3 linked regions of the Caenorhabditis elegans genome follow. The protein of the gene in region 1 purifies or fractionates together with the protein of each later gene. This does not show direct contact. Each region holds a gene or a part of one and is shown on either strand. Other genes may lie near its edges.

The links.
Region 2: the proteins of cht-1 (region 1) and pept-1 fractionate together in Caenorhabditis elegans (co-fractionation; one large-scale study listed by BioGRID). This does not show direct contact.
Region 3: the proteins of cht-1 (region 1) and tsp-11 fractionate together in Caenorhabditis elegans (co-fractionation; one large-scale study listed by BioGRID). This does not show direct contact.

Annotation. Positions count from the first base shown.
Region 1 is NC_003284.9:3,397,086-3,401,994, reverse strand, and holds cht-1 (putative endochitinase), read left to right. Parts: upstream 1-1,977; 5' UTR 1,978-1,978; coding exon 1,979-2,060; intron 2,061-2,233; coding exon 2,234-2,348; intron 2,349-2,483; coding exon 2,484-3,796; intron 3,797-3,852; coding exon 3,853-4,196; 3' UTR 4,197-4,382; downstream 4,383-4,909. Other genes in the region: slcf-2 (Major facilitator superfamily (MFS) profile domain-containing protein), read right to left, coding at 4,527-4,724, 4,778-4,909.
Region 2 is NC_003284.9:6,455,048-6,462,364, reverse strand, and holds pept-1 (Peptide transporter family 1), read right to left. Parts: upstream 5,494-7,317; 5' UTR 5,333-5,493; coding exon 5,290-5,332; intron 4,662-5,289; coding exon 4,506-4,661; intron 4,080-4,505; coding exon 3,938-4,079; intron 3,895-3,937; coding exon 3,805-3,894; intron 3,592-3,804; coding exon 3,401-3,591; intron 3,354-3,400; coding exon 3,276-3,353; intron 3,229-3,275; coding exon 3,146-3,228; intron 3,088-3,145; coding exon 2,832-3,087; intron 2,583-2,831; coding exon 2,438-2,582; intron 2,384-2,437; coding exon 2,302-2,383; intron 2,257-2,301; coding exon 2,134-2,256; intron 1,953-2,133; coding exon 1,687-1,952; intron 1,636-1,686; coding exon 1,116-1,635; intron 1,057-1,115; coding exon 724-1,056; 3' UTR 598-723; downstream 1-597. Other genes in the region: K04E7.1 (Serpentine Receptor, class BC (Class B-like)), read right to left, coding at 222-336; Zinc metalloproteinase nas-33, read left to right, coding at 7,231-7,312. UniProt on the Caenorhabditis elegans protein: Low-affinity peptide transporter that is necessary for proton-dependent uptake of di- or tripeptides, and to a minor extent tetrapeptides, in the intestine. Transport is independent of sodium and chloride ions.
Region 3 is NC_003284.9:9,161,411-9,167,071, forward strand, and holds tsp-11 (Tetraspanin), read left to right. Parts: upstream 1-1,753; coding exon 1,754-1,843; intron 1,844-2,533; coding exon 2,534-2,659; intron 2,660-2,705; coding exon 2,706-2,831; intron 2,832-3,007; coding exon 3,008-3,082; intron 3,083-3,167; coding exon 3,168-3,299; intron 3,300-3,682; coding exon 3,683-3,841; intron 3,842-4,086; coding exon 4,087-4,179; intron 4,180-4,229; coding exon 4,230-4,292; 3' UTR 4,293-4,311; intron 4,312-4,358; coding exon of another isoform or gene 4,359-4,442; intron 4,443-4,490; coding exon of another isoform or gene 4,491-4,559; 3' UTR 4,560-5,033; downstream 5,034-5,661. Other genes in the region: B0563.10 (Neuropeptide-Like Protein), read right to left, coding at 5,496-5,661.

The sequences.
Region 1 (4,909 bases):
GCATGATTAAAAATGAGAATACAAAAATTATTGATCGCTTCTTTCAAAAATCTGGCTGTGGTCGCATAAAATTAGTACAAAAAACTAAGGAAAGAAGGGAAAGGAAAGGACACCCATTGTGGGATGTGCAAATGACTCAGTCGTCCACGAGAAAAATTGTGTTCGTCGAGACCCACCGCAGAGGGCGAAAAGTAAAAGGAGCATTTTAAAATGCGAAAATGGATGAGTCGTACTCTCGATGCCAAAAAGATTTGTGGATATTAGCTGAAACACGAAATAGCTAAATACGATCCGATGGAATATCTTCTGAGCAATAGTGATGAGTCAACGAAATTAATTTGATAAGCAAACACGTTATTAATAAAATTTCAAAATCCTGTTCTATTTGTCATCATCATTTAAGTAACGAAAAATGAAATCTGACTAATCAGTATAAAAGTGAGACAAAATAGTGTTTTTAATAAATAGATTGTATTTTCTGATTCTGAAATTGTTCAAAGGTGGCTTCTTGTCAGTAAGAAGTTTGTTTAATTATCACAGTTCCACATGCCCAAATATCATAATTTAATACTCAATTTTTTTTGAAGATTTTTTTTAAATTTTCAGTCTTACATAGAAGTTTTTGAATATTGCCAGAGAAGTTGAAGCATTGCATCAGGCTTCAGCTTTAATGTTCAAATATGTGTATCTAAAGCATAGGTAATTAGAATAGAAAATAAAAGAAATTCGTTTTTTTTTTGGCGGGCTTTCAAAACGAGTTGTCCGCGTCACTGTCGAAATTGGTGTATACTAGCGATATTCATAAATTTGTGTTTCCGAAAAAGTGAATAATTCCAGCAATATTCTCGTGCCCGTAGAATCGAATTTTTTTCGAGGTTTCTAATTCCAAAACATTTTCCTTTATAAACTGTTAAAACTTATGTGCATGTTAGGTGATCGTTTTTTGTTAGTACATATTAAGCATGATTTTGATTTGAAAAAATTCGGTTGATCGAGAGCTCCAAAAACAACAGTGCTGTAAGCAATGCACTTTTAACATGCTTTAAACAATATTTTTCTATTCGTCGTCACTTCCGTTTTAAACACGGTTAAACTTTCCGGCATACTTGTGTGGGTGTTTGTCATGGGACGCTCTTAAGTATTGAAAACACTTTATCTGTTATCAGACATTGTACGTGAAACAATATAAACTTTTGTTATTTTAGAAATAATATATAAGCTCTCTCTCAAAAATTTAAACATGAAAGCAATATTAATAATCAATGTTAAAGTGCTCGTCTGACCGTATTTCCCAACTGTTTTGTAGTCTGATCTTTCAATCTTACTGAGCAACAAGATTACCATCTTTACGACTGTCTCTTCAATCAATGTTGGTAGACTGCTCATTCATTAACACCCTTCTTATTAGAGAGCAAAGATCAAATCCTGCTCGGCTATTGTTCATGATGTCATAAAGGGTCTGGGCCGCATTAATGGGCCGAGATTGACCTAGATAAGGTGCTCCGCCCACCTTCCCATGTAGAGACCATTCTATGTAGCCACAATCATTCAGACATTTTTGTTGGCTGCCTGACGGACCAACTCAATTATTCTACCTTTTGGCCTGGTACAGGCCTGATTATTGTCTACGTGTTTTATTCAAATTTGTTTTTTTCTTGGATACTTGGATTGACTCAAATCGTCATAATTTTATTGTTTGTGCGGTGGTTTTTGCGGAAAGTGGAGTCCCCCTCACTCACCCATCCTCATTTCTTTTCGCCTTGAGCGATAATCGTTGGAAAATGAGCACACTGTACGAAGTGCATTGTGAGCCGAGGTGCTCAAACAACCGCCACCAGTCCGGCTACCTATGTACATTTTGGTCATTTTTGTTCCTTTAAATTGCTTGTTTTTCCGCAATAGCCCTTTCACCCATTCTTCTCATTCGAAAATTTGGTGAACGTATTTCTGAATAAATATATTTTTGTATTTTTTCAGCATGCTATTAGGCAAATTCCTTCTCGTGGCAAGTTTCATATTGCCAATTGCATACACATGGACGGGTGCTACAATTAGAAACCGTAAGTTATCTCGGCAATTTTTTCTAATGACTGTTCAGCTGAAACCATTGAATTTCTGATACAGACTGACACAAAAAGTCTAGTATTGACTTTTCAAATGGTCACTCAGTGTTTGCCAATATAGTTCAAGAGCACGTAAACAAAACCCCGCTGTTCTCACACGTTCTCTTCAGATCCGGCGGATGTTGTCGCTGCACGAAACAAAATCACTTCACGATCAGTGGCGAGATCCGAGCCAACCAATAGCTACATCAGACCGTGCTACTTCACCAACTGGGCTCAATACAGGTTTGAAATTTAATCGTATTTGTGAATAGGGGGACGATAATCGAAAGATGATAGTATGCAGTGAGGAATGAATAGTGGGAAAAAGTTCTGGTTTTCTGGTCTGCAAGTTAGTTTTTTTTTCAATTATTTTTTCAGACAAGGACGAGCCAAGTTTGTGCCAGAGGATTACACTCCAGGACTCTGCACGCATATTCTCTTTGCATTCGGATGGATGAACGCTGACTACACCGTTCGAGCATATGATCCAGCAGACTTGCCAAATGATTGGGCTGGAGAAGGAATGTACAGAAGAGTTAACAAGCTGAAAGTCACTGACACCCAACTCAAGACCCTTCTCTCGTTCGGAGGATGGAGTTTTGGAACTGCACTTTTCCAAGGAATGGCTGCCAGTTCTGCGTCTAGAAAAGTTTTTATCGACTCTGCTATCACTTTCGTTCGCACTTGGGGATTCGATGGTATTGATATCGACTGGGAGTACCCTTCTGGAGCAACTGACATGGCTAACTACGTTGCCCTCGTGAAGGAGTTGAAGGCTGCTTGTGAGTCGGAAGCCGGAAGCACTGGAAAGGATCGTCTTCTTGTAACCGCCGCTGTCGCCGCAGGACCAGCCACAATCGATGCTGGGTATGATATTCCAAACTTGGCACCGAACTTTGACTTTATTCTTCTCATGAGTTACGATTTCTTCGGAGCATGGGCTTCTCTTGTTGGATTCAACTCTCCACTCTATGCTACGACCGAGCTCCCAGCTGAATGGAATGGATGGAACGTTGATTCATCTGCTAGATACTGGAACCAGAAGGGTATGCCAAAAGAGAAGATCATCGTCGGAATGCCAACATATGGACGAGGATGGACTTTGAACAATGCCAGTGCAATTAATCCAGGAACAAGCGGATCCCCAGCTAAGATCACTCAATATGTTCAAGAAGCCGGAGTTGGAGCCTACTTCGAGTTCTGCGAGATGCTCGCCAATGGAGCCACCAGATATTGGGATAGCCAGTCTCAAGTTCCATATCTCGTACAAGGAAATCAATGGTGGTCGTACGATGATGAAGAGTCGTTTGCCAACAAGATGGCATACGTTAAGAGAGAAGGTTACGGAGGAGCTTTTGTATGGACTCTTGATTTTGACGATTTCAATGCTGGATGCAGCAACTCTAATGGTCAGCTTTACCCACTCATCAGTGTCATTGCTAAGGAGCTTGGAGGAGTTATCATTCCAAAGAAAGGTGGCGTCACAACTGCTCCAACCACTGTAGCAACTACGGTCACAACTGGACGCCCTCCAATGACTTCAGCAGTAACCACAACTACTGCCGCTACCACAACTACAACACGTGCAGCTACTACAACCACAGCTTCCAATACAAATGTCTGTTCTGGAAAATCGGATGGATTTTATCCAAACAGCAACAACTGCGGACTTTTCGTTCTTTGTCTGAGCTGTAAGTTTTTAAAAATTATATTATTTAGAATGTTTATGAACAATTTTCAATTTCAGCAAAATCATACAGCATGTCGTGCCCATCAGGACTTCAATACTCTGCTTCCCTGAAATACTGTACCACTTCCACTGCTTCTGGATGTTCTGTGACCACTACTAGAGCTCCAACTACGACAACAAAATCTGCGCCAACTGTCACCACAACTACAAGAGCACCAACAACCACTACACCGGCTTTCAAGTGTACCAAGGATGGATTCTTCGGAGTTCCGAGTGATTGCCTCAAGTTTATCCGCTGTGTGAATGGTATTTCATACAACTTTGAGTGCCCCAACGGTTTGAGCTTCCACGCTGACACAATGATGTGTGATCGTCCAGATCCATCAAAATGTGCAAAATAAGTGTATTAATTTCCAACATCTGTTTAATTTCATTCTTGCATTCCTTATTTCCTATAACTTCGTTATTCCCACGGGCCACCTGTCATTTGTTGCTTGTAGCAACTCAAAAAGTAAACAATTTATGTTATTCATTTAATGTATATTCAACTTTAAAACGTATTTATTGTATCAATAAACGTATATAACAAAACACTTTTTTATTTCATGGACAATCTACAAACAAAGCGACCCCTAATTTATAACTACATGCATAAGAACCCATTTTTCTTGAGAGACCAACTTGTTTCGACGATTGCCAACTGGTATCAATTTTGAAAAGAGAGACCCAGTTCACTTTCCAATGTTTTTGTAAATGTTCACTCCAAAATCGAGAAGAAATATGCAGCACGCCAACTGCACCACAAAACTGATAAAGTTCATCAGCGCCGGTTTTCCACTGAGATATGCGAACGTTTTCGAGGCTTTGTGTTTTAAGTATAAGAATACATTTGTTCCAGGAAACTCTGGTGAGAAGTGACGATTGATTTCCTGAAATTAAAATAGGTATTTAAAATATAAATGTTCTAATTATTATTTGTTACCTGTGGAGTTTTTCCTGCAGTTTCGGGAAGCCATTTGTAAGTAACACCTACATAAACTGTGTTCATTGCTACAAATGGTATTAGTACATTTGATATTCCATGAGTGTTCAAAGCAGTTAGTAGGCAGTTTGT
Region 2 (7,317 bases), 3.1 Mb from region 1:
GTTATTCAGTAGGCATTTTTTTTATACAAGGAATTGTGAAATTTAGCTAAACTCGGCCATAATTTTTCGAAATTTTAAAACGCCCTGAAATGTTTTAATTCATCAAATTTAATTGATTAATTAAAATGTTTGAAGACTATTACCGTGATAATAAAACTTGCTACTCTGCCTATAAGTGAAAAAATTAAAATGACAAAAAATTATTTGCCCAAGAGTCAAACCTTTGAGCAATGGAGTGCTGGAGGACGCCATTGCAAATCCGGAAGTGTAAAGTGTGTTAAGTAGAGCCAGAACATTTCCAGATTTGAGAGAAGGTGATGTTAATTCATCCGTCATATTTAGTCGCCCAGTGTGTCGTGAGCAAATCCAAAAAAAAGCAGATAATGAGAGAGCCCCCGGCAACAAGCTATTGTCCGTCCTCCACTAGCTTACAAAGCTTTAGACCGGATATACTCATCCGGTCGTCGCATGCCAACTTTCAAATTTGGCTCCTATTTTTGAGTTCAGAGACTTTTGCAATGGAATAAGAAATGTGTTTGGTCGCAAAACGACAGAATCAAGATGCAGTTCGGCTGTTGTTGTGAGAGTGGACATGAACAAAGTTTTTAGAAATATTTATTTTTTCAAGTGAAAACGAATTTTATCACGATGTCACAATAAGGGAAAGCAACAGTAGTAGGTTTAGGAAAACAAAATTGAAAATTTATACATATTAGGATTTAATTAAAAATGCATATCGAAAGTATCTTTTTCGTCCGGATGGAAACCTTTGTTATCAATTGAATATCGTGGATTGTGATCCTCAATTTCTTCCTCATCATCAACTCCAATTTCACCGTCCTCTTCATCAGTTGTATAATAATTGTAAGTATAATAGAAAATGGAGAGAAGAGCAAAGATGGCAATAACTACAAACATCGCAGCAGCATAGACAAAGAATTCGACGGCCATATTTTCAAATAAGTTAAGGATTGTGATGACTACAATGATGGAATCTCCAGCAGCAGTGGTCAAGAGCCAGAGGGCTTGTACCAGAGCTTTCATTGATGGGGCAGACTGTAATATTTACAGTTAGAATAGCATTATAAATTATAAATTTTAACTATTAACATTACCTGAGAATATGCAAATTCGTATCCGGTAATTGAGAACAAAATTTCTGCTGCCGTGATGACAACGATTTGTGGAATCTGCCAAAGAATCGACACACTATTGGACTGTACAATTTGAAGCTCGTGGATCTTTGGATTTTCGTATGTTCCGGTCAATGCATAGATGAACACACCTCCCTGCTTAACTCTGTGAAAACCGTAATTTGTTGGAGCAACGAGTGTTGCTGTTTTGTTGTAAGTCTGCCGGTCTACATCTTTTGGTGTATTCAAAAGGTAGTACAACTGCCAATATCCTGGCTTTACAGATTTCTGCTTGTAAGTTACAGCCGGTTGGGAACTAAGAGATCCAGTAATTGTAGCGTTTTGATCTCTGTCATCGGTATGACTATTATAATCGGTTTCCCAGAAGTAAAAGTCAGCAGGATGTCTTGGATTACATGGATGGTTAACATCAAAGTCGCTTGTATTTTGACGGCACATGGCAAAGTTTCCTCCGTATGAAGAATTGAATACAGTGACAATTCTGGAATTTATATATTATTTAACCATTGTTCCGTGTTATGAACACCCCTACCCCATAGAGAATTCTCCAGTTCCATCAGTTGGCTTATCAGTGTTAGCTGTGTTTTGGTAATATCCAAATGATCCGACTCCAACGTAGATGATCTTCTTGCTCTTGGCAGTCACTTTAACAGTTTTCTCCAATTTTGATGTATCTCCGCAAGCGCCGTCATAGCTGAGGTCATATGTGAGAGTCCAATCGCCATTACCTTTTGCGGGGGATTTTGTTGTAAAAAGATTATAAATTCCAGACTTGTTCTTTTTATCTTCGTGAAGATACTGAAACGTTGTTGTGTAAATACGTATAGTAATTCATGACAAAGGCAATAAATTAAATAATTTTACGATAACTTTTTCTGACTTCCTTTTTTCTTATCAGCACTTAAAATGGCATGATCTTTCGTTTAGAACTTAGGAGGAGAAAGTTAAAAGTGAAAAGAATCAAATTCGAATCTCAAACCTTGTCATGGGGAAGAACTCTCTTGTGAATTCCAGACATAACGGTAATGGTGCAATCAGTTTCAAACTGGTTCCAGAAACTAATTGATGCTTCTCCTTCTTCCGGGAGAGTTGGAAGAGTAGTCTGTAAAGAATTAATAAATTATGGAACAATTTTATTTGAAATTACATTGACTTGAAGTTGAACAAATCCAGTGATCAAAAAGGCAAGTGACGCGAGAAGCCCTCCAGTGACCATTTTTCTCAAAGGTCTAAAATATAATAATTCATTATACACAAATAATTTTATTTCAATGAAAACTCACGTAAGTCGGACACACTTGGCAGCGACTGGGTAGATGATGACCTGAAAGAGTGGGATAAAGAGAAGAATAAGCACGGCGTTCAATGTCTGCATTTGATCCGGAAGAAGGAGAAGGGTGTCAGAAAGACGACAATCCATTTGAATAGCTGAAAAAACACATTTTTAACATGTGAAGAGCGGGGATGTCTCAGTCGGTAGTGGTGGTCGCTAGCAATCACAAAATTGCACTCCTAGGTTCACTAAGCCAACGCTGGGAATTAGATTAATCAACGGCTGACTTAGCCCCCCGGCTTGATTGTAGCTTAAGCTAAAACCCAGTGGGTGCACCACAAGGAATTCTGCAGCTGACTCCCCAATTTGATCATTTTTAAATTGTTATCTAGAACTTTACAAACCTTGAATGAGCCAGACAGATCCTTGCTGATCGTAAAGTGCCCAGAACATTGGTACTGGCAAGAACATGACAAGAACACGGAGTAGGGAACGGACATCATCGATGAATTTTTTCTTTTGGCACAGATTCTTGTTTCTTTTCTCAGCTTGGAGTTCGAGGCATTTTGCATCAAGAGCACAGTCGTGAGTAGTAAGGTAGTGAAGGAGCCAGTGTTCCTTTGGTGTGGATCCTGACTTCATTTTGTTTCCAACAGCTCTCTGAATATTTAATCTTGGTTTCAAAGCAGTTTAGAAATAAAACAAAACAAAAACTTACAAACATAAGACGAGATACTTCTCCGAACACGTTGTCCTTTGGTGGGTTCTTCTTGTACCAAAATGAACCTCCCATAAATACCACTGTAAGAGTTTAATAGTCAATGTGATTTTTGAATATTTTATCTCACGTGTTGCAACAATCATAAGAATAGCCGGAATACCAAAAGCCATTGGGTAGCAGGAATCTTGTCCAAGGCATGGTTGAGCTGAAATTATTGTACTCTAATAGTGTTTTAAGAATTGTCAAGTTTACATCTGAAGATGGGAGAGATGAAAGTAGAGATCATAGATCCTGCGTTGATGGAAAAGTAGAACATGGAAAAGAAGAGTGAGAGCATTCTTTCTTGTCCTAACTCGAATTGATCTCCTCCGAATGCAGACACACATGGCTTGATTCCTCCGGTACCGAACGCAATGATCAGTAATCCAGACAGATCCATCCATCTGAAAATTCAGCAGTTTATTTCTTGTGAACCCTTTTTAATTTTGTTCGGTTTCAGTTTTTTAATGTTTAATGTGGCGCGTGCACTGTCGGGCAAAAGTTGCCACGGTTGAAGTTCTTATCATCATGCCTTGTTTCAATCGAGAGGAATTCGTAAAGACGGAAAAGTTGCATGATAAGTTTATGCGTCGAATACTGGAACAAGCATCACTTACGGGTGAACTGAAGATTGAAAATTCTTAGTAGAAGCGAGAGCGAGCACGACTTGTCCGATTGCGTATAGAATTGAGACAGAGAAGATTGTCCTGAAAAGTCGTTATTGAGTGCAAAACAACAATTATTACATACCAGAATTTTCCAATGTATCCGTCCGCAACAATTGATCCGAGAAGTGGTGTGGTATAGCAAAGCACAGTAAATCCATTGAAGAAGATCGTAGATTGTGAGTCGGTGAACTTTAGTACGTTAAGCAGGTAGAATGTCAAGACCGCTGCAAATTTTTCGTGTCACGTTTCAATTGATCTTCTGTACTGCCAACGTCATAATCATTATGGTAATAACCGGATTATGACCTTTTAGTGATATCGGTGAAAAAATGTCTTATTTGCATTTCATGTGTCAAAACTTTCGATTTTTAAATATACTGGCATGTAGATAGGAAATTCACTTTTTGAGTACCATGTACTTAAAGTAAATGTTGATAATACCCTTATCTGAAAATGTCCACCCACCGGCCGAAAATCAAAATAAGGTTTAACTCTACTTTTTCTTCACCTTACCTCTTAAACTAAACTAAAAATATATGTACAAATAAAAATATTTTTTGTAGATTATTGATACATCAGAAATGTTTAAGGCTGTTTAAAGGATCTATTATATCCTTTACACTTTTACCCTAACAAATAAAGCAACTCACTTCTCATTCCATAGTATGAGAATCGTTCGCAGAATTCGTTGGACACGATGCACAGTGTTGTTTTAGGCCAATGCCTGATCATATCAGGCCATGTTGTGTAGATTTTCTTTTCCGGTAGTGGTACTGTTTCGAGTTCATGGCCGTATGATGTTTTGCCTGAAAAACTCGTTCTGTCGATTTTCGATCAAAAACTCTGAAATTTACTCTTGTCGCCTTTTTTTTTGATAGATAAAATTTCCCACGCGGCAAGATTAGTTATAATCCATCTAATTTTAGATAAATGCCATTATCACTAGTTTTAGCGGCTGTTAAGAAGAATTGTATTTTACAAAACAATAAAACAATCTGGAAATGATGTTTCGGTATGCTGGAGGTAAGTTATTTTGTTCCGTACAGTGTGTTGCAAAATCTGCATTAATATTAGATTTATTAGTTGAGGGTTCTTGTTACTCATAAGTAATACAAAATTATTGGATTACAGTTTTCAACAGGAGCCCAGTTGTTAATGGTAGTCGCTAGCAACTAGGGGTCACGAGTATAAAACGTGAGGGGTACCCCAGCCTTAACTGGAAAGTGGATCTTTAAAATCTGCGACTGGATGATTGACCACATGCGAATCATATTTCGAGAGAAATACAATTGAACAAACTATTAAAACATTCAAATACTGTGTAATGTTACAATATCTTAAAAATTAAACTACATGGGTGGTATAATATTCAGGCTTAACCGTCTTAATAAATGTATTATGCTTTATTGAACTTTTATATGATGAATCAGTTACCTTTCGAGCTAACGCTCTCCGAGCGACTCTCCGAGTAGCCCATAGTGGCGATACTGACGAGGAATGAGCCTGTCGCGGTATTTGAGGCAAGAAATGAAGAAGAAGGAGGAGTATGGAGGTGGGCAATAGGTGCGTTGGCTCGATGACTGTGTCCTCACCAATTTCTTGCTGCGTCTCTTTATCAAGTTGAACCGCACTGTTCTTAATAGTGCTTCTCCTACTCGCTTAAATATTTCACTCATAAATTTTATCATTTCCACTTTCTTTTTCCACCACCTCTTGTAAGCGTTTTCGTACATTACATGCTCCACTAATCGGATAGCGCAGAAGGCGAGCAAAGGAATGAGAGTACGTGTCACTGTTGGAGACCAAGTTTTGATGCGGGTTGTCTGTAATTCAATGTTATCACCTATTAAGATGTACTGTTTCTGAAGAGAAAAAGAAAAATTGAGTGGAGGGTAAAGAGAAAAGCATGACAAGAAAGGCACAAAGTTGAAAAGGGTGTAAAATGGTGATATGAGCCGACTGAATATCATGTCGGCGTGATTTATGATGAAAAATGATTTAGGGGAAGGTTATTCTGTTTTCTTGTTCAAAATCTTTAAAATCTTACAACACCATTCAAAAAATTGAATTGTTAATTATAACACACAGTAAACATAACGAGACGCTGAAAATACATATGAAAACGGGTTAATGAGTGTTTTTAAAACAAGGCACCATAAATGGTGAGTAGCGAATGTAGTTAAAATGTATGGAACCACTTCTATAATGTTAAATAAATAAATTTTGAAGTATTTTCATTTGCAGCCAAAAAGTTGTGATTAATCAGCTTTGCTCACATAAAATTGGTAGTCGATTTGAAAAATAATAGAAATTTAAAAAAATAATATTCTAATTAAATCTTATACACTTGTACTGGAACATTGTACAGCGACACTACTCTTAATTTATCAAGGAGCCTAAACTATGTATAAACTTGATAACATACGTTTAATGATTTTTTTTTCAAAAAAAACTTTGAAAATTTAGACTGTTTTATGATGATCTGGATTGCAATAAAAATTTTCGGACAAAATTTCCACTGACGACAATAATCCATATGTAATGTTTGGTGTCAATTAATGAAATATTTTCAAGTAATACGTGTTTACCTTTCAAGGAATTTGCTATATTTCCTAAGAATTTTTTTAATTTTAACAAAAAATTGCGTTTCAGTTTTATGAAAAGGCGTTTGCAAGCAATTGCAATGTGTAGATGTGTAGATACAATGTGTAGATAGGCAAAGTGTAGAATTGACAAAAGCTACAGTAATAATAATACGTTGATTATTAACACAGTACCCATATCCAGATTTTCCACCCTTTTTTGTAGTCTATCATTAAAACGTTAGAAGTCTATTTCTACAATACACATGCAAAACTTGAATGCTATAAACTTAGTACGTGAGTCTAGACCATCATTTTTCTGGGAACCCTGATTAAGAACACAAGAAAAAATAGTTGAAGTTCAGCGAAACATAATTTGGATCAATTCGGCGACTTTGTCTGATTCATCCCCAGATTTCTGTCTTGATCTTCTGCATGGTATGATCTTGAAAATTGCCATTTGCTGAGTTTTTATAATATTTCAAAGTAACATCCACTGATAGTCAAATGTTTGTGTTCACCAATCATCTTGCCATCAAAAAAAAACTTTTTGAGGCCACGCGTAATTTCATCTTCTTTTCACTCTCAAAGATTCCCCCAATTAAAACTTCTACGACCTTTATATTTGATTGGCCGAATGAGACAAAACGATGCAAACACCTTACAGGTCTTCCCGCGTACCAAATTTGTGTTGTTATTACCGATTAAACCCTGAACTAGTTCATGCTGTAAATTTTTTTACTTGGTCTTTCATTTTGATTAAACTTGGCATATACTTGCCGCCGAGAGCAAAATGTTATTTGTAAGCATACTGATATCACAGTTTGTTACTTGTCTGACGCAACCTGATTTTTTTGAACGGCCTCCTCCTCCAGGTAAG
Region 3 (5,661 bases), 5.8 Mb from region 1:
CATACCCCTCCCAATTCTTTCACTTTTCTGCCAGCAGTGGCATGAACGAGTTGACAACTGTTGTTACTCTCTGACTCGGCGATGATTTCGCAGTACATCTCATCCTTGTGCACACTGTCTCTCTCATCCGGAGCAAGTAAGTGAGATAGAAGGGGGAGAAGACCACTAATTCCGAACCCACATCCTCTGCGCCCTCAGTTATCCGTTTCGCATAGTTGTGTGGAGAAATGTGGTGGTATCGTGTGGGGAATGGTTGGGTGCTCCTCCTTCTTTTCTTATCCTTCCTTGTTGCTAGATTTGATTGAATTGTGCCTTCCATGTGCGGCCCATAATTTTCAATTTAGTTATTCCTATGTTCCAAAGTGCATCAGATTTTGTAATAAGTATAACTTCAGAGCAAATATTTATAATCGAAATCAGGTTTCACTTGGATTTTTTTTGAAGATTAAGTAATTTAGAAGTTTTTCGAATGCTCATAATAGTAATTGTGCGGTTGGAAATCTTCGCACTTCTCCATCCCCTATCCGTCGTATTCCAGTTCATCCGTTCGCGGAACTTTTGCTCTCTTATTTCAGTTCTCACATTTACATGCCCCATAAATGTAGATCAGTGTGAAACCCAACACCTTCCTTACCTGGCGGCGTTTACCGGACCACCGTTTTCTATTTCATTTGCTCAGTGCCTTTTTGAGAGCATCACTTCCACGTCATCATGAACGATGTTTTAGTTTAATGTTGGTCTTTACTTCAGAAGATATGGTGTTCTTTCAAAATCAGAATATTTTTAGATTAAAGTATGATAAAAGTACATACTATATTGTCATAAATCTTTTTAATAAAATGTATTTAGCGAAAATGTTCCCACAGTTCAACTTCCCAAAAATAAACAGTTTCCAAAAATAATAAGCATAGTCAGAGAAGAAGTTGAACGTCGTTTTTTAAGCAAATTATTTTTCTTAATTTTTTCAGTTTTGCGATTTTCTAAAAATACGGCTTAATTGCTAACTATAAGGATCTAACCGCAAAAAAATTGAACCTATTTTTTTTTATTTTCTGAGTTCCAGTTTCGATTTTTCGGAGTTTTGTTCGATTTGGTTTGATTTTTCAAAAATTTTTTAGATTATAATAAATTAATTAAACGGAATATATAAAAAGTTATTCATAAAAGTGAGAGGATAGTTTGTCAACTTCCTGTTTATTTGGTTGCACGTTTTAGTTGGTGTAGAAACTTTTTGTTATTCAATAATCTCATGAAAAAAAGTTCAAATAAACTCATGAAAAATAGTTCAAAAAATTTTTTTAGCGTGTTGCTTTATTATTTGAAATTTAGAAGAATTTTATAGTTTTTTCTCACGAAACCAGCACATTTTCTTTGTGTTTAATGTATCCCGGATTTGAAAAAGTCCACTGATGTTTAAACTCAAAAGACAAAGGTTGGAAACAAAAGTTCATTTTGCCATGCTTCTCATCTGACACTCGCTTTTTGTCAAACATGTACTTCAGTTAATTAAAACCAATTTATATAAATCAAAAATTCACAAGCTCTTAGCTCTTCATTCTTGGACGATTTCGCATTACACCAGTTGAGAACATCTCTCTCAGAAGAAACTCTGTCATAAATTTTGCTCTTTCATCCGCTTTGAACACCTGTTCTACTTTTCTCAACCTACTTCTTCATTTTTTAACTTTTTTTCTATAACACATGTCATTGACATCTTTTTTCTGTTCGTCTTTTTGCTTGTGTGCTTCAAAAAATGAATTTCAGAAATCAAAGCACAATGCCATTAAGCTGTACGGCGCGAGCGCTCAAATTCTCATTATTCATATTCAATTTGGTGTTTCTGGTAAGTGGGGCGGTTTGTGCTCAAAGAAGCTTAAACAATTGGTCAGTGTTTGGTGGAAGTTTGATAAATCGACGAGCATTGCCTTCCAACATAAATATGTGTGAATGCCTAATGGCTCACCAACTGTTGCCGGGCATTAAAATTTATGACCGCGGCATTTAACGAACACTGTGGTAATTGTTTCGATTAAATGTTGATAGTTCTGTTAGTTAAACGCAAGGTACAGCCCTAAAAAGTAAAAAGTCATTCGTGGAAAATGTTATTTTAATTTGTTCCAAATTTAATACGCTAAGGTTACCAAAGATTCAAACAAGGCTAAGCTTCAGAATGTTGAATATATTCTTTAATAAATATCAATCAAATTTCAGTCTAGTAACAGAGCTTCATTTCATTATTTAAAAAATACAAGACAAAAATATTAATCTTTCATATCTTTTTATGATTTTTTGTTGAAAATAACAAAATAAAAAAAATTGCTCGAACAATATTCTACATACTATTTTTTTACCATTAGCGTTACATGACAAACTGTTTTTTAATCTAGTTGGCCCAGAATAAAACCAGCGTATGAAAACTGGATTTTGAAACACCAAACAAATTCAAACATCGTATGAACATCAGACAACTATACTTAATTTATAACTAGCTAAGTAACTAACTAAGACTATAACTAAGTAAGAATTATTTCAGCTTTGTGGCTTGATATGTCTTGGAATTGGATTATGGCTAGTTCTCGACAAATATGCAATTGACAATCTTGCATTCGCCACCGCAAAAGTTCAAGGATACGATCAAGATGCTGGATTAAGAGACTTGGTTACCACTTTATACAGTTGGGAGTATTAAACCATACCATTTTCAGGCAACAAAACCAACAGCAGTCCGCCAGTTTGGATATTTGTTATTCGTTGGTGGATTTATTGTCATTGTAGTGGCATTTTTGGGGTGTTGTGGTGCTGCTAAGGAATGGAGACCACTTTTATGTTGCGTAAGTTATCTGACAGATACATATCATTTTCACGTTACAATTAAACTAACATGTTTAAACAAAACTAATTGAAAAGTATTGGAAAGTGTTTTTGGGGCAGGTATATAAACATGTACCAATACAGAAACACTAGGCTCACAAAAACTATTTGGCGTTTTTGAAAAATGTATTTTCAGTACTCATCCTGTTTAATGTTAATACTTGCAATACAAATTGCTGCAACAATATACGCTTTCCTTCACAGTCACATGGTGAGTCAACGCAACAAAAAAAACAAGAATTTTCTTGTTTTCAATCCAGAATTTTATAAAACGTTATCGTTGTTTTTTTTTGCAGTTTGAAAACGACTTTCGAGACATTCTTCATTCGTCGTTAAAAATGTACAATGGAACGGATAACATGAAAGTCAGCAACAATCCTCAAGATGGTTTGTTGGTAAAAACAGCATGGGACAAAATTATGATTGAGGTATGGTAAAGAAGTGGTGACAGTAACTATAAACTACTTTTTTTTTAAATTTTCACAATTCTCACTAATCTTGCGATAGTTTTCAACAGATCTACTCACTGACTTTGAAGGTTTGAATAATATTTTTTTCAATGGTTCTTTGATAATTTGTAGCACTCATCAAATTGATATAAATGCAAGTTTTGTTTTTATGTAATTCTCAGTATTTTGCTTCTCGGCTCATTCTGAGATTTACTTACGGATACCGTTTTTTTTTAAACCATACCGTAATAATTATTTTGTGAGAAGTTAGGTTAAAAGATACTTGTATAAAATGCTCATAACTACTGTACTTTGGATGTTTTACCTTTCGGTCTGGAGAAACTTTAAGTTTTTATTTCCAGAAATCGTGTTGCGGAGTAGACTCCAAAATTGGAGAGTTCAACAATTCCGGATGGTATCAGCTGAACCATGGACGCTACCAATTTCCACCAGCATGTTGCCCACCTGATGAACATGGAAGATTAAGACCATACTGTAACACAATCATGAGACATTCCCATGTGAGTTAGCATGTTTTTTATTTTTCTAGGATTTTTTGTTTGTCTTTACTATACGATTTGGTCCCATGTGAAATCAAAGGCTTATACATAAATATGTACGTCTGCACGTATTGTCACGTAACGTAACAAACATTACTTGTATTGAATGTCGGCTGAAGTTAACCTATAATTATATTCTTAACGCGTGATATCAAATACTTTGTATATTGATGTTATAGATGTAGTAATTTCGATCAATTTATCAGGGATGCTACGCAAAAATTGCGGAATCATTTGAAGAAGTGACATCTCATTTCAAGATTGTTTCCTGGACTGTTGTATTGTTCGCTTTGATTCAAGTATGCATTATGCCTGGTTTTGATGTTATGAAGGCTTAAGCATGTTTCAGGTGGTTGGTATTGTTGTTGGCTTCTGGTTATGCGACTCAATTACTTCCGAAGACGAATTCTGATTTGGCTACACCGCCTACCGTAACCCACTGGGAATATACCTTGTTTTTTGAGATTTTTGTTTTCAGGGTTGTATAACGCCACTTTATCGTGAATCCCAGATACACTTCTCAGCCATATTCTCGATTCTTGTCGTCTTGACAATTTTCGATGTGAGTTTCTTGTAGTTTTTTTTAATGCCACTTTTTAAATGTTTTCAGATTGTTCTATTCATTGTTGGTGTTCAATTGTTTCGTCACATTCGAATTGAAATGCTCTATTATTTCTAAAGGTTTAACTCACCAATAAAAACACATTTTCAATTTCCAATTGCGTTTTACTTTTTACCTCCATTTCTAATTCAACCCCCACTTCCCCTTAAATTCTCCTACCAAATCAACATTCTACACCGGGTTTCGTCTTTCAGTAAAGCCAGTCAAGATGATGGAAAGCGTGACTGTCAGTCTTTTTTCCATCACCACCTGCTTTTTCATTTTCAAGATCTGTTTTATTGCCACCTACGCCACTATCATTACCGTACTTGGCAAAGATCACCCCTTTGTTCGCATCTACTTATAATTGTATTGTGACAAAATTGTAATTTTACATAGACAAATGTTTAGATGTTTTTATTTTGTATTATAAAGCAAAACCGCAGTTATTCAAAAGATAAAACTTTTATCTTGAAATTTTTGGTTTCTGAGCGATGTCATATTTTCAAAAATCTGATCAACTTCAAATAAATCTGTAAAGCTTTGGATAAAATTTCTTGAACAACGTTTCTGTTTCCTCTTTCTTGAACATACAATATATGTTACCCTGGAGATCATAAGTTAAAGTGAGCCACAAGGTTCAGAAAGGAGGGTGTAAGGTTTTGTTCACGAAGAGAAATTGACCACACCGCTTGTTGACTTAAATGTGGAACACGGCAAGTGGAAAATTAATTTAAAACCATTTCTGTAATGCTAAAAGGGCTAATTATAATTTGCCATTTGGTTTGGTAATTTCAGCACTATAGGAATTGTGTTTAATCATTTTTCCACGTACGCATTCTTGAAACAAGCAAACAACCTTTTCAACTATTTTATTTGTGTAAGAAATTATTCTAATCATTTCAATAAAATTTGTTGTCATTACTTTTAAATTGTAAAACTAATTTCATTGAATATATTTGTAAACTAATTTCATCGACTTAAAAGAATAAATTACAACACGAAAAGCAACATTCATGGCCAAGAGGATCTTGCTATCAATAGAAGTTTGGCATTATCATCACCATGCCAATAATTTCCTTTGCTATCGGATTGTGAATTCCCGAAAAATGGACTTGGAGTCTGTGCTTGTTGAATAGCTTGAACTGACTGAATTTGCTGTTGCATACGTTGTTGATTG